Arabidopsis thaliana: one gene and its partner. The protein of the gene in region 1 interacts with the protein of each later gene in a pairwise test. Each region holds a gene or a part of one and is shown on either strand. Other genes may lie near its edges.

The links.
Region 2: the proteins of PSP (region 1) and AT5G47590 interact in a two-hybrid assay, tested with the Arabidopsis thaliana proteins (one large-scale study listed by BioGRID).

What each region holds. Positions count from the first base shown.
Region 1 is NC_003070.9:6,415,560-6,420,582, reverse strand, and holds PSP (3-phosphoserine phosphatase), read left to right. Parts: upstream 1-1,889; 5' UTR 1,890-2,024; intron 2,025-2,326; 5' UTR 2,327-2,337; coding exon 2,338-2,560; intron 2,561-2,748; coding exon 2,749-2,881; intron 2,882-2,973; coding exon 2,974-3,081; intron 3,082-3,348; coding exon 3,349-3,442; intron 3,443-3,561; coding exon 3,562-3,711; coding exon of another isoform or gene 3,712-3,796; coding exon 3,797-3,850; intron 3,851-3,933; coding exon 3,934-4,059; 3' UTR 4,060-4,299; downstream 4,300-5,023. Other genes in the region: PDCB3 (plasmodesmata callose-binding protein 3), read left to right, coding at 170-221, 565-804, 1,124-1,157, 1,319-1,547; GR-RBP6 (glycine-rich RNA-binding protein 6), read right to left, coding at 4,300-4,467, 4,852-4,958. UniProt on the Arabidopsis thaliana protein: Catalyzes the last step in the plastidial phosphorylated pathway of serine biosynthesis (PPSB). The reaction mechanism proceeds via the formation of a phosphoryl-enzyme intermediates. Required for embryo, pollen and root development.
Region 2 is NC_003076.8:19,296,904-19,301,163, reverse strand, and holds AT5G47590 (Heat shock protein HSP20/alpha crystallin family), read left to right. Parts: upstream 1-1,989; 5' UTR 1,990-2,064; coding exon 2,065-2,119; intron 2,120-2,393; coding exon 2,394-2,771; coding exon of another isoform or gene 2,772-2,857; coding exon 2,858-3,219; 3' UTR 3,220-3,550; downstream 3,551-4,260. Other genes in the region: AT5G47600 (HSP20-like chaperones superfamily protein), read left to right, coding at 708-762, 879-1,219; ASG7 (uncharacterized protein), read left to right, coding at 3,970-4,260.

The DNA of each region.
Region 1 (5,023 bases):
AAAGAATTTCTTTTTCACTGTCTTCAACGCAGTGACTCTCTTTCTCTCTCTTTATTCACACCTCTTGTTACCTTCAAAACCTTCTCTCAATCTCCTCCATTATCCTTCTCTTTTTCTCTCTCCCTGCAACTGGCTCCATCCCAAAGTGCTTCGTTCTGGTACAGCGACCATGGCAGTTTTTGTTCTTGTGATGATTTTGTTGGCCATGGCTGGTCACTCAAGTAAGTATATCTTCGTCTCTTTTCAAATCCTTCTCTGTCTCATATAGATCCTCTTCTTTTCTTCTATGGCAAAACGATTCTTCTTTTCTTTGTTCACCCACTCTGTTTTACAACAGAACAACATAGTCACAAACTTCTTAGCTTTCATAGTTTTTAATGAAATTTTCCACAAAGAAGGGCCATTTTTGCTTTTACCCATACCTTCTTTTCATATTTCCTTTTTGACTGTGGAGTTCAACAATCTTGTCCCCTCTTGAATTAAACATTAAGGTGTTCCATTTCACACATTATCAGTGAATGAGATTTGAAGAATGCTCATTGAAGTGTTTATGTGTGTCTTTAGGTGGGACATGGTGTGTATGCAAAGAAGGGTTAAGCGAGGCAATGCTGCAGAAGACATTGGACTACGCATGTGGTGCAGGAGCTGATTGTGGACCCATTCACCAGACCGGGCCTTGCTTTAACCCTAACACCGTCAAGTCTCACTGCTCCTACGCCGTCAACAGCTTCTTTCAGAAGAAAGGTCAGTCTCTGGGCACTTGTGACTTTGCTGGCACAGCCACCTTCTCAGCCTCTGATCCCAGTGAGTCTCTCCTACCAACCTCACTACATTAGAATTAGTGCAAAAACAATTTGTTCATATTTGGTAACTTAACTAGGTAAAGTTAAAAGCAGTAGTTGAAAAATGGAACCCAACTTGAAAGCAAATCAGAAAGGCTAGTTTATATTAATCTAAACTTCACATGTTTCAATGTGAATGATATGATAAATAAAGTATCCATTATCTTATTATATAGTATCACAACTCAAGATTCTCTACACAGATTTGAAACTAGATTGTAGAACATATCATTTTTATTAGTAACTGTTGTCTCTTGTACCATTGTGGTCTTATGATATAGGCTACACTACTTGTCCTTTCCCTGCAAGTGCCAGGTACACACCCTTCTTTCTTTCTTCACTTCTTATTTGTTGTTTTGCAAACAAGAATTGGCTTTGGTCTTGAGGATCTTTGCACTCTAGATCTTTGTTTAAGCTGATTGATACAATCTGAGAGATGTGTTTGTATGTTTGTTGTTATTTACCATTTAATGCAGTGGAAGTGGGACAACGACTCCAGTGACGACAACACCTTCGACAAGAGTCCCTACAACAACTAATACAAGACCCTACACAATCACACCATCAACAGGAGGAGGTTTGGGAATACCGTCTGGTATTAACCCGGATTACACAGATCCATCCTTTGGATTCAAACTCCAAAGCCCAAGATTTGGATTCATAGTCTTGTTCACTCTCTTCCTACCCTTTTACTTGTTTAGCTAACTAAGTGATCATGTGAGTAGTGTGTGTGGGTCTCAATCTAATGTAATGATGGAATCTATGGAGATAGAGACATTTTTTTGTTCCATCTTTGTCTGTTTTTCCAGCTGTTCCCCACTTGCCTCTGATAAAAATTGTACATTTTGATTTCAAGTAAGGAGACGGAAATATATTTATTTAAGGTTACGTTACCTTCACCGGAATTGTTATGACCGGAGATAATCAAATCTGAATTTCTGATTGTCTGAATTGACCCCAAACACAACCAATCAAAACAAAACACAAAGGATAAAAATGTCATTTTGACGGGTTAATGTATATAACTAATAAAGGGTAAAATTGTCATTTGACTTCACCAACCAACAAACACTCTTCTCAGTGGCTTTTTTTTTAATTGATCGGATCCTCCAAGCAGCAGCCGAAGACGACCGCCGGCGATTTCCGGTTGGCAATTGTTCTCATCTGATCTGCTTTCTCGCGGTACTGATCTCTGATCCCAATCTTACATCGTAAAATCTCTGCTTTCGTTCGGGTTTTGATGATATAGATCACGTGGATTCCTTCTTTTCACAATTGACTGTTACAAAATCACAACATTACATTTAATCTCTTTCACGTCCCCAATTGTTGTATGAAATTTGATGTATGTGAGGTAGAAGGTCATGTTCTATAAGCTCATTCGACCAAATTTGTGTGTTTGTAAACTTAACTTTGATTTGTTCATCTCCAAGGTTCTCTCAAAATGAACGTCAGACTTATTGGGCACTCTTGTTTTCTTGTAGCTCCAAGTTTAATGGAAGCATTAACTACTTCAAGGGTTGTGCCAGTTCAGGTCCCCTGTAGAAAGCTCTCTTCACTTTTTGCTAATTTTTCTTGCCTTGAGTTAAGGAGATATCCTTGTAGAGGTCTTGTCTCCATTATGAACCATCCCAAATTGCTTCGTCCAGTGACTGCTTCTGTGCAGCCTCACGAGTTGTCGACTTTGGGGCATGAAGGCAACATTGTTCCTTCTAAAGGTAACTAATTCTAATTACTTCAGAATCTGTTGAATTTAGATTTTAGGGAATAACCTGAGCTGCTTGGTACTAGGAGGTATGAAGGAAGAGTTCTAAGAGTTAAATTACAAACTGTTTTAAGCTTTTGAATTGTTTATAGATTGCTGAGTTTCTTTCTACTTTTGGTTGTTGGTTTTCTGAATTGCTAGAAATTCTTGATCTTTGGAGAAGTGTTGAAGCGGTATGTTTCGATGTGGACAGCACGGTTTGTGTGGATGAAGGTATTGATGAACTTGCTGAGTTTTGTGGAGCTGGAAAGGCTGTTGCTGAATGGACTGCCAGGTTTTTGGTCCATCTCAACGCATATATATGCTAAAGCTCTGATGATTTTTACTGCCTTTTTATGTTAACTTATCGAGTATTGCTGTTCTTAGAGCTATGGGTGGATCTGTTCCATTTGAAGAAGCTCTAGCTGCAAGACTTTCTTTATTCAAGCCTTCTCTTTCAAAAGTAGAGGAATATCTCGACAAGAGACCCCCAAGGTATTGATTTTGGTTACAGTTACTTTGCATGTGTTGTGATTTTGATCTTTTGGTATGATGCGAGCTACCTTCCCATGATTCACTCTGCTAAATAAATCGTTTCACTTATAAAGATAGATTTTACTTGTAAGTGTTCCATTGGCCCATGTTCTTGTCTTGAATTAGACTTTGACCAATAGACATCTAGCTGGCTTGATTCCTGCTTAAGATATGTCCAGATTACTTTCTCAAGTTTGTTATTATAGTGTGTTTCTTTGGTTTGTTTAGGCTATCTCCTGGCATTGAAGAGTTGGTCAAGAAACTCAGAGCCAATAACATTGATGTCTATTTGATATCTGGAGGTTTTCGACAGATGATCAATGTACTCTATCTCTCTCCCTAGTTTCTTCATGTTCTTTACTAAGACCAGCTGCATCAATTCTTGTGTAGAATACTACAATCATGGTGATAAGGTTATGATTCAATTTCTTTTCACTGTAGCCTGTAGCATCGATTCTTGGCATCCCTCGGGAGAATATCTTTGCCAACAATCTTCTATTTGGAAACTCCGGCGAGTTTCTGGGATTTGATGAGAACGAACCTACGTCAAGAAGTGGAGGCAAAGCCAAGGCAGTGCAACAAATACGAAAGGTTCACGGAACTTTATTAATTTGCAAGCTCCCATATCTCTTCTTAAGTACAACACTTTGTACCAATGAAACTTGGTTCTTTCCAGGGTCGTCTCTACAAGACTATGGCCATGATTGGAGATGGTGCTACTGATCTCGAAGTAAGCTATTATCAACCGAGAATTTGCAGATTACAATGAACTCTCAAATACTGTCTTGAGTAACTAAGGTAATATACTTGCAGGCACGTAAACCTGGTGGCGCAGATTTGTTCATATGCTACGCTGGAGTTCAGCTTCGTGAAGCCGTTGCAGCAAATGCAGACTGGCTTATCTTTAAGTTTGAATCTCTCATAAACTCATTGGACTAAAAGCCTCTATAGTGATTATTCTCGTTTAGCTAAACTCATTATTCATATCTCCAAATTTGTACCCTTTTATGAATTTGTATCAAATACCAATTGAATCAACAAATGTTTTTGCCAACTTTAGCCGCTTGATATGTTTGTTCAAGCATAAGAGCGTTGTTATAACAAAATAGTGGTCTTTGTGAAGAGAAAATTAAACCACAGACTAATCAATCTTGGCGGTAGACATATCTGGATGTCCAGTTAACGAACAAAGCCATAGCCACCACCACCAAATCCACCGCGACCAAATCCACCACGAGCATATCCCCCACGACCACCACCATAACCTCCCCTTCTTGCAAAACCACCACCACCCCCACCACCTCCTGAATCAGCTGGATGCACTCCAATTATTCGCCCATCAAGCTCCTATTTAAGCAGGAAACTCTATAAATGGCGGATTGACATAATCAAGCAAAGAAAGAAAGAACAATCCCATTGGTTTCTGAAGCAGCAACGTAGTACCAAAACATCTCTCTTTCTGTCTAAAGAAAATGAGATAAACAAAGCAATGAAAAGAATGGTCTAATTTCACAGTATGATTCTTTACTAAAAGAGTTACTTATCAAACGAGAGAGACAGGAGTAGCATTACAAGCTATATGATAAATTGCTAATATACAAACTAGTGTACTAGAAACAAACTTATGTCACAAAGTAAGAAGATTTTAAGGATATGGAAAGAAAGTAAAGTGAGAAAGTAATTAGACTCATGATAATTAGCAACCAAAATAAGCCGGAAAATTGGCATCACCTTATTTTGCATAGCTTGCATTGCGTTATTAGCAACTTCGATCGAATCATATGTTACGAAACCAAAGCCCCTTGATAAACCACTTTCACGGTCCAAAACCACTACCGCTGTGAAGAACAAAGTAAATTTTAGTCAGCAATGAGAAGAAAAACCAATGGAGAAATGAGACAGC
Region 2 (4,260 bases), on another chromosome or scaffold:
AATCAAATAAAACTCAGAGCAACTTAAATTATAATGTGTATGGAGGAGATTAGATGGAAGCTGAATAACTAACATATACTGCACCAAATCAAAAGCAGTTTTCGAATTTTAAAGGCTCAAACACTCATTGGGCCGATGTATGGGCCAAATACACAAGTAACTAACATATACATACTTGTGTTTGCTATGGTACCCAATGATTCATGTCATTTGTTTTCACAAACTTTTAACTCTTTTTTTTTCCTCTAAGCCGATTGAAACAAATTGGGTCCATTGCATAATTTACCTAAAGCTAAGCTGATATTGAATATTAGTTTCTTCCATCAAATGTCAATTGTTTATAATTCATCCCCCGACAAAACTAAATGGGCCGATTCTTAGGCCCATATTAGGTGGTCACTCCGGTTGTGCTAAAAATTGTTCAGAGAAGTCAAAGTCTCCAGATTGATGTCAATTGTCAACACTCTACAAGATCACTCCTTTCCATGGAGTTCAACTAGAAGAGCTTTTCGATCAATTTCACCAAATCAGAAACAATTTCGAATTTTTAACACTCCTTGGGCCGATTAATGGGCCAAATGATAGGTCACTCCAGGCCTTTCCCAAACCCTATAGTCCTCCTCGGCTATAAATAGCAAGTGGAGTAGAGCGACTTTGCTCACTCAGTTTCCTTCCAAAAGAAAGAGAAAGAGCATCGTTTTGAGCAAATGAGTAGGAACATGGAAGTTAACGCAGGCAGTTCCGGCGAAATTCCGTCTCCAAGTAAAGTTTTCATCTTTCACTGTCATTTCTTATAAAAATCAAACCTTTATAGTTTACACGTCAAATCTCTCTTTCTAATAACGAATTTGTGTTTGTTTTATCTTATGTATGTACAGTAAGGAACCGATTTCAGAAAAGTGGGAGTCAAGCGGTGTACGAGGTGACAGAGACGAAGAAATCTTGCGTGACGAGAGTCGACATGCCTGGTTGTCCCGAGTCAGATCTCACCTACTGGGTCGACGCCAACAACGTCCACTTCTTCGCCGACGAACCAGCAATGCCTGAGTACGAAAACGCCGGACGCAAATACGGAGGCTCCATGATTTTCAACCCTGAGGCTTACGACGTCAAGAAAACTAAAGTGAAGCTTATCAACGGAGTGCTCTGGATCACCGTCCCTAAGATCCCAGGCAAAAACGCTTCCATTAATGTCAAGGAGAGGATCCTCCATTACTGATTTAACAACACCTTGGTTTGTGTCTCGTAATGGTACTTGTGTCTAGCGTCTCTATCTATCTATGAACTTTGATGCAGCTACTGCTTTATGTTTATCATTTTGTGGTTTAGTTAAGAACGATCTTGCTTCTATATGTCGTGATCTCAATAAAGAAAAAGTTGTCAGCTTTCTTTGTTCTATTTAATCTTACATTAACCTAGCTATTCGATAAGACTATATAGATCTTTGCCATTATTAAACCGGATTACGAGTATGTAACCTGGACATGTTAATAGATATATGTTGTTGTAAGTAGGGATCAAACTTTTTAATAGCGTTGTCGTAATAATTGGATAAACACTAAACGACGGTTGAAACCTTATTTGATCTTTGATGAAAAAAAAAAAGATAATTGAGAGCTCATAATTTTTTTACTCTTGAAGATTGCTGACGTCAGCGTCGTCTTGTCAAAAATGTTTGAAAATTAATGAAGAGTGAAGAGTGTGGGTACGGTTTTACTTTTGCAGTCATTTTTGTCGTACATAATTACATATAAACGAAAGGAGTAAAAAAAGCGTGGGATAGCTCACAGAGCTGGTGACGTCAGCTTATTCTCTACCGTAAAAAAAATCAAAAGAGTAAAAGCAAGTTTTTTTTCTTACCGAGAGAGAGAGTCGGTGACGTAGGCAAGACCAGTCAAACTTATGCTATGAAGGTTAAAAAAAAGCCAGCTGGAGCGTGCCACGTCACAGTCTGTACCACAAGATGGTGCTTCGTCTATATTTATCAACAGGAGAACAAAACGCCATTTTTACGCAACCTACCTTGAACTAGAAGAGAAGAGAGAGCAAAAAACAAAGAGAGAGATGGGTGAGACAAAGGCAGATTTCAGGGACATGTCAAGAATTCCTAAAGTTCGAGGTATCTCTTTTCACGAGCTACTAGATTTCCCAAGAACAACATTGTTCTAATTTTTCTCGGAAAATATGTGTTTTTTCTAGAAAGTTGTCTCAATTTGTTTACTTGTGAAGTGTTAACATGAACTTGGTACAAAGATTTACAGTTTTTTTACTGTGCATGATTCATGAAAATGAAGCAGATCGAGTTAGTTCCATCTTTGATAAGTGTCTTCCTTTGTTCTCTGTATACTTTTCTTCATCAAGTTTTGATCTTTGTTTACTTATTATTATTACAGAGGGGTTCTACGCGACGAACAATCAGTTTCAGAAAGCGGGTCCAAAGGGTTTCGTTCAAGTGAAGGTTCTGGAGAACGACAATCTCTACGTGCGTGTCGACTTGCCTGGTGTTCCAGACGACGCCGTTCGCTACAGAGTTGACGCCGTGAGACAAAAGGTTGTCTTTTTCTCCGGTGAAACTCTGAACAACGGCAAGGAAGGTGTGCGTCAGTACTCTGGAACCGCTGGGCTTGGCTGTGACTGCTGCGAGATCACAGGCGTGGATGCCAAAATGAAAGATGGAGTTTTGAGGATGATTCTCACAAGGGTCAAGGTTGTGAGCAAGGCTCAAGACAACAACAACAACAAGTGTACTCTCACTGTGCCTCCTTTTACAGGTTCGACTCATTCCTCTTCTCTAAAGTCACAATCTCTTTTGCTGCATCATTTGTTGTTAATACAGTACTCTCTGTTCTTTATTAAGGTCAATCCGGAATACGCTTGGAGGATCATCCGTGTCTGGTGTCTGGTCGCAAGGGAGCACTAATTGGGGTGACAAAAGCGGGAGGAGGGGCTCACTTTGCAGTGGACATGCCAGGTGTTAGTCCGGATGATGTGGAAGTGTATGCTGATGAAAAGGAAATCAGATTCAAAGCTGAGATCAAGGACGTGTATGAACACGATGAGAGCGGTCGAACCTACCTCGGAAGCGTCCAAAGTCCTTTTCCCGCTTTAATTTCGAACAACACCATCGCTTGGGATGCAGAATTTGGTGTTCTCAGGATTGCTGTCATACCTCCTGACGACATGACCACCATCAACAACAAAAGAAACCCTATTGAATGAATGATCTCTCTACCTCTCTTTTAGCTAGTACTCTACTATATTTTCATTTTGGGACATTGACTAGTTTTCTCTGTTTAAGTTGAGACATTGTGTGTGTGAGAGAGATTAGTCCTGCTTTTGTGTTTGCTATCGAATCAAGTGATTCATGTCATTTGTTTTCACAATCTTAACTCTTTTGTTCCCCTAAGCTGAATTCAAAAACAAACAAACTGGATCCCTCGAATAACCTGATTGGTGATGATGATTGCTCAAAACCCCCTAAAGCTGATTCCATGGAATGTCAATTGTTTATAGATCCTAGGACATTTGATCTGTCACTCAACAGTGCCTAATTCCTCAATTGAATCGAAATGGTCATGAAAGGAGTGTGATCATTTTATCAGACAAGTCAAAGTTTCTACTCTTCATCATTATTAACACATCCAGTAACAAAACTAATTGGGCCGATTATTAGGCCCATGATAGGTGGATCACTCCAGGCCTTTTCCAAACTCCACGAAAGCAGGCAGAAACACTTTCTTCCCGTGAGTTTTTCCCGGTTGATCTGCGATTCAACAGTGTCTATCCGAAATTTAGTTGAAATGGTCATAGAAGAGTGTAGTAGAAAGGTTGGAATTTGTGCTCAAAATCGGTCAGAGAAGTCAAAGTTTGCTACTTTTCCAGTCTCTAGAATGATGTCAACAAGATCACTCATTTCCATGGAGTCAACTTGAAGAAGAGCTTTTTCGATCAAATCCTTGAATTCGATTGATGGGTATCCTCGGCTGCGACGCCCATGGCGATTTGAACGATGCAGAGTTCAGCAAACCCTTACCTTCGATTGGTATCTACGTTGCCGTAGCTTCACTCATCTGTGGTCTAGCCATGGCCGCCGATCTTATACACGGCTTCCGACACCGCAAATTCTGGTTTCCCTGTAAGTTCTTCTCTCTCAACGCCACTTCTCTGACTTTCATCGCTGTCGGAATCAAACTCTCTGTGGATCTCAACACTTCCATGCCGAGTCGTCAGGATCAGTTAGCTAAACTCAGCAGCACCGTC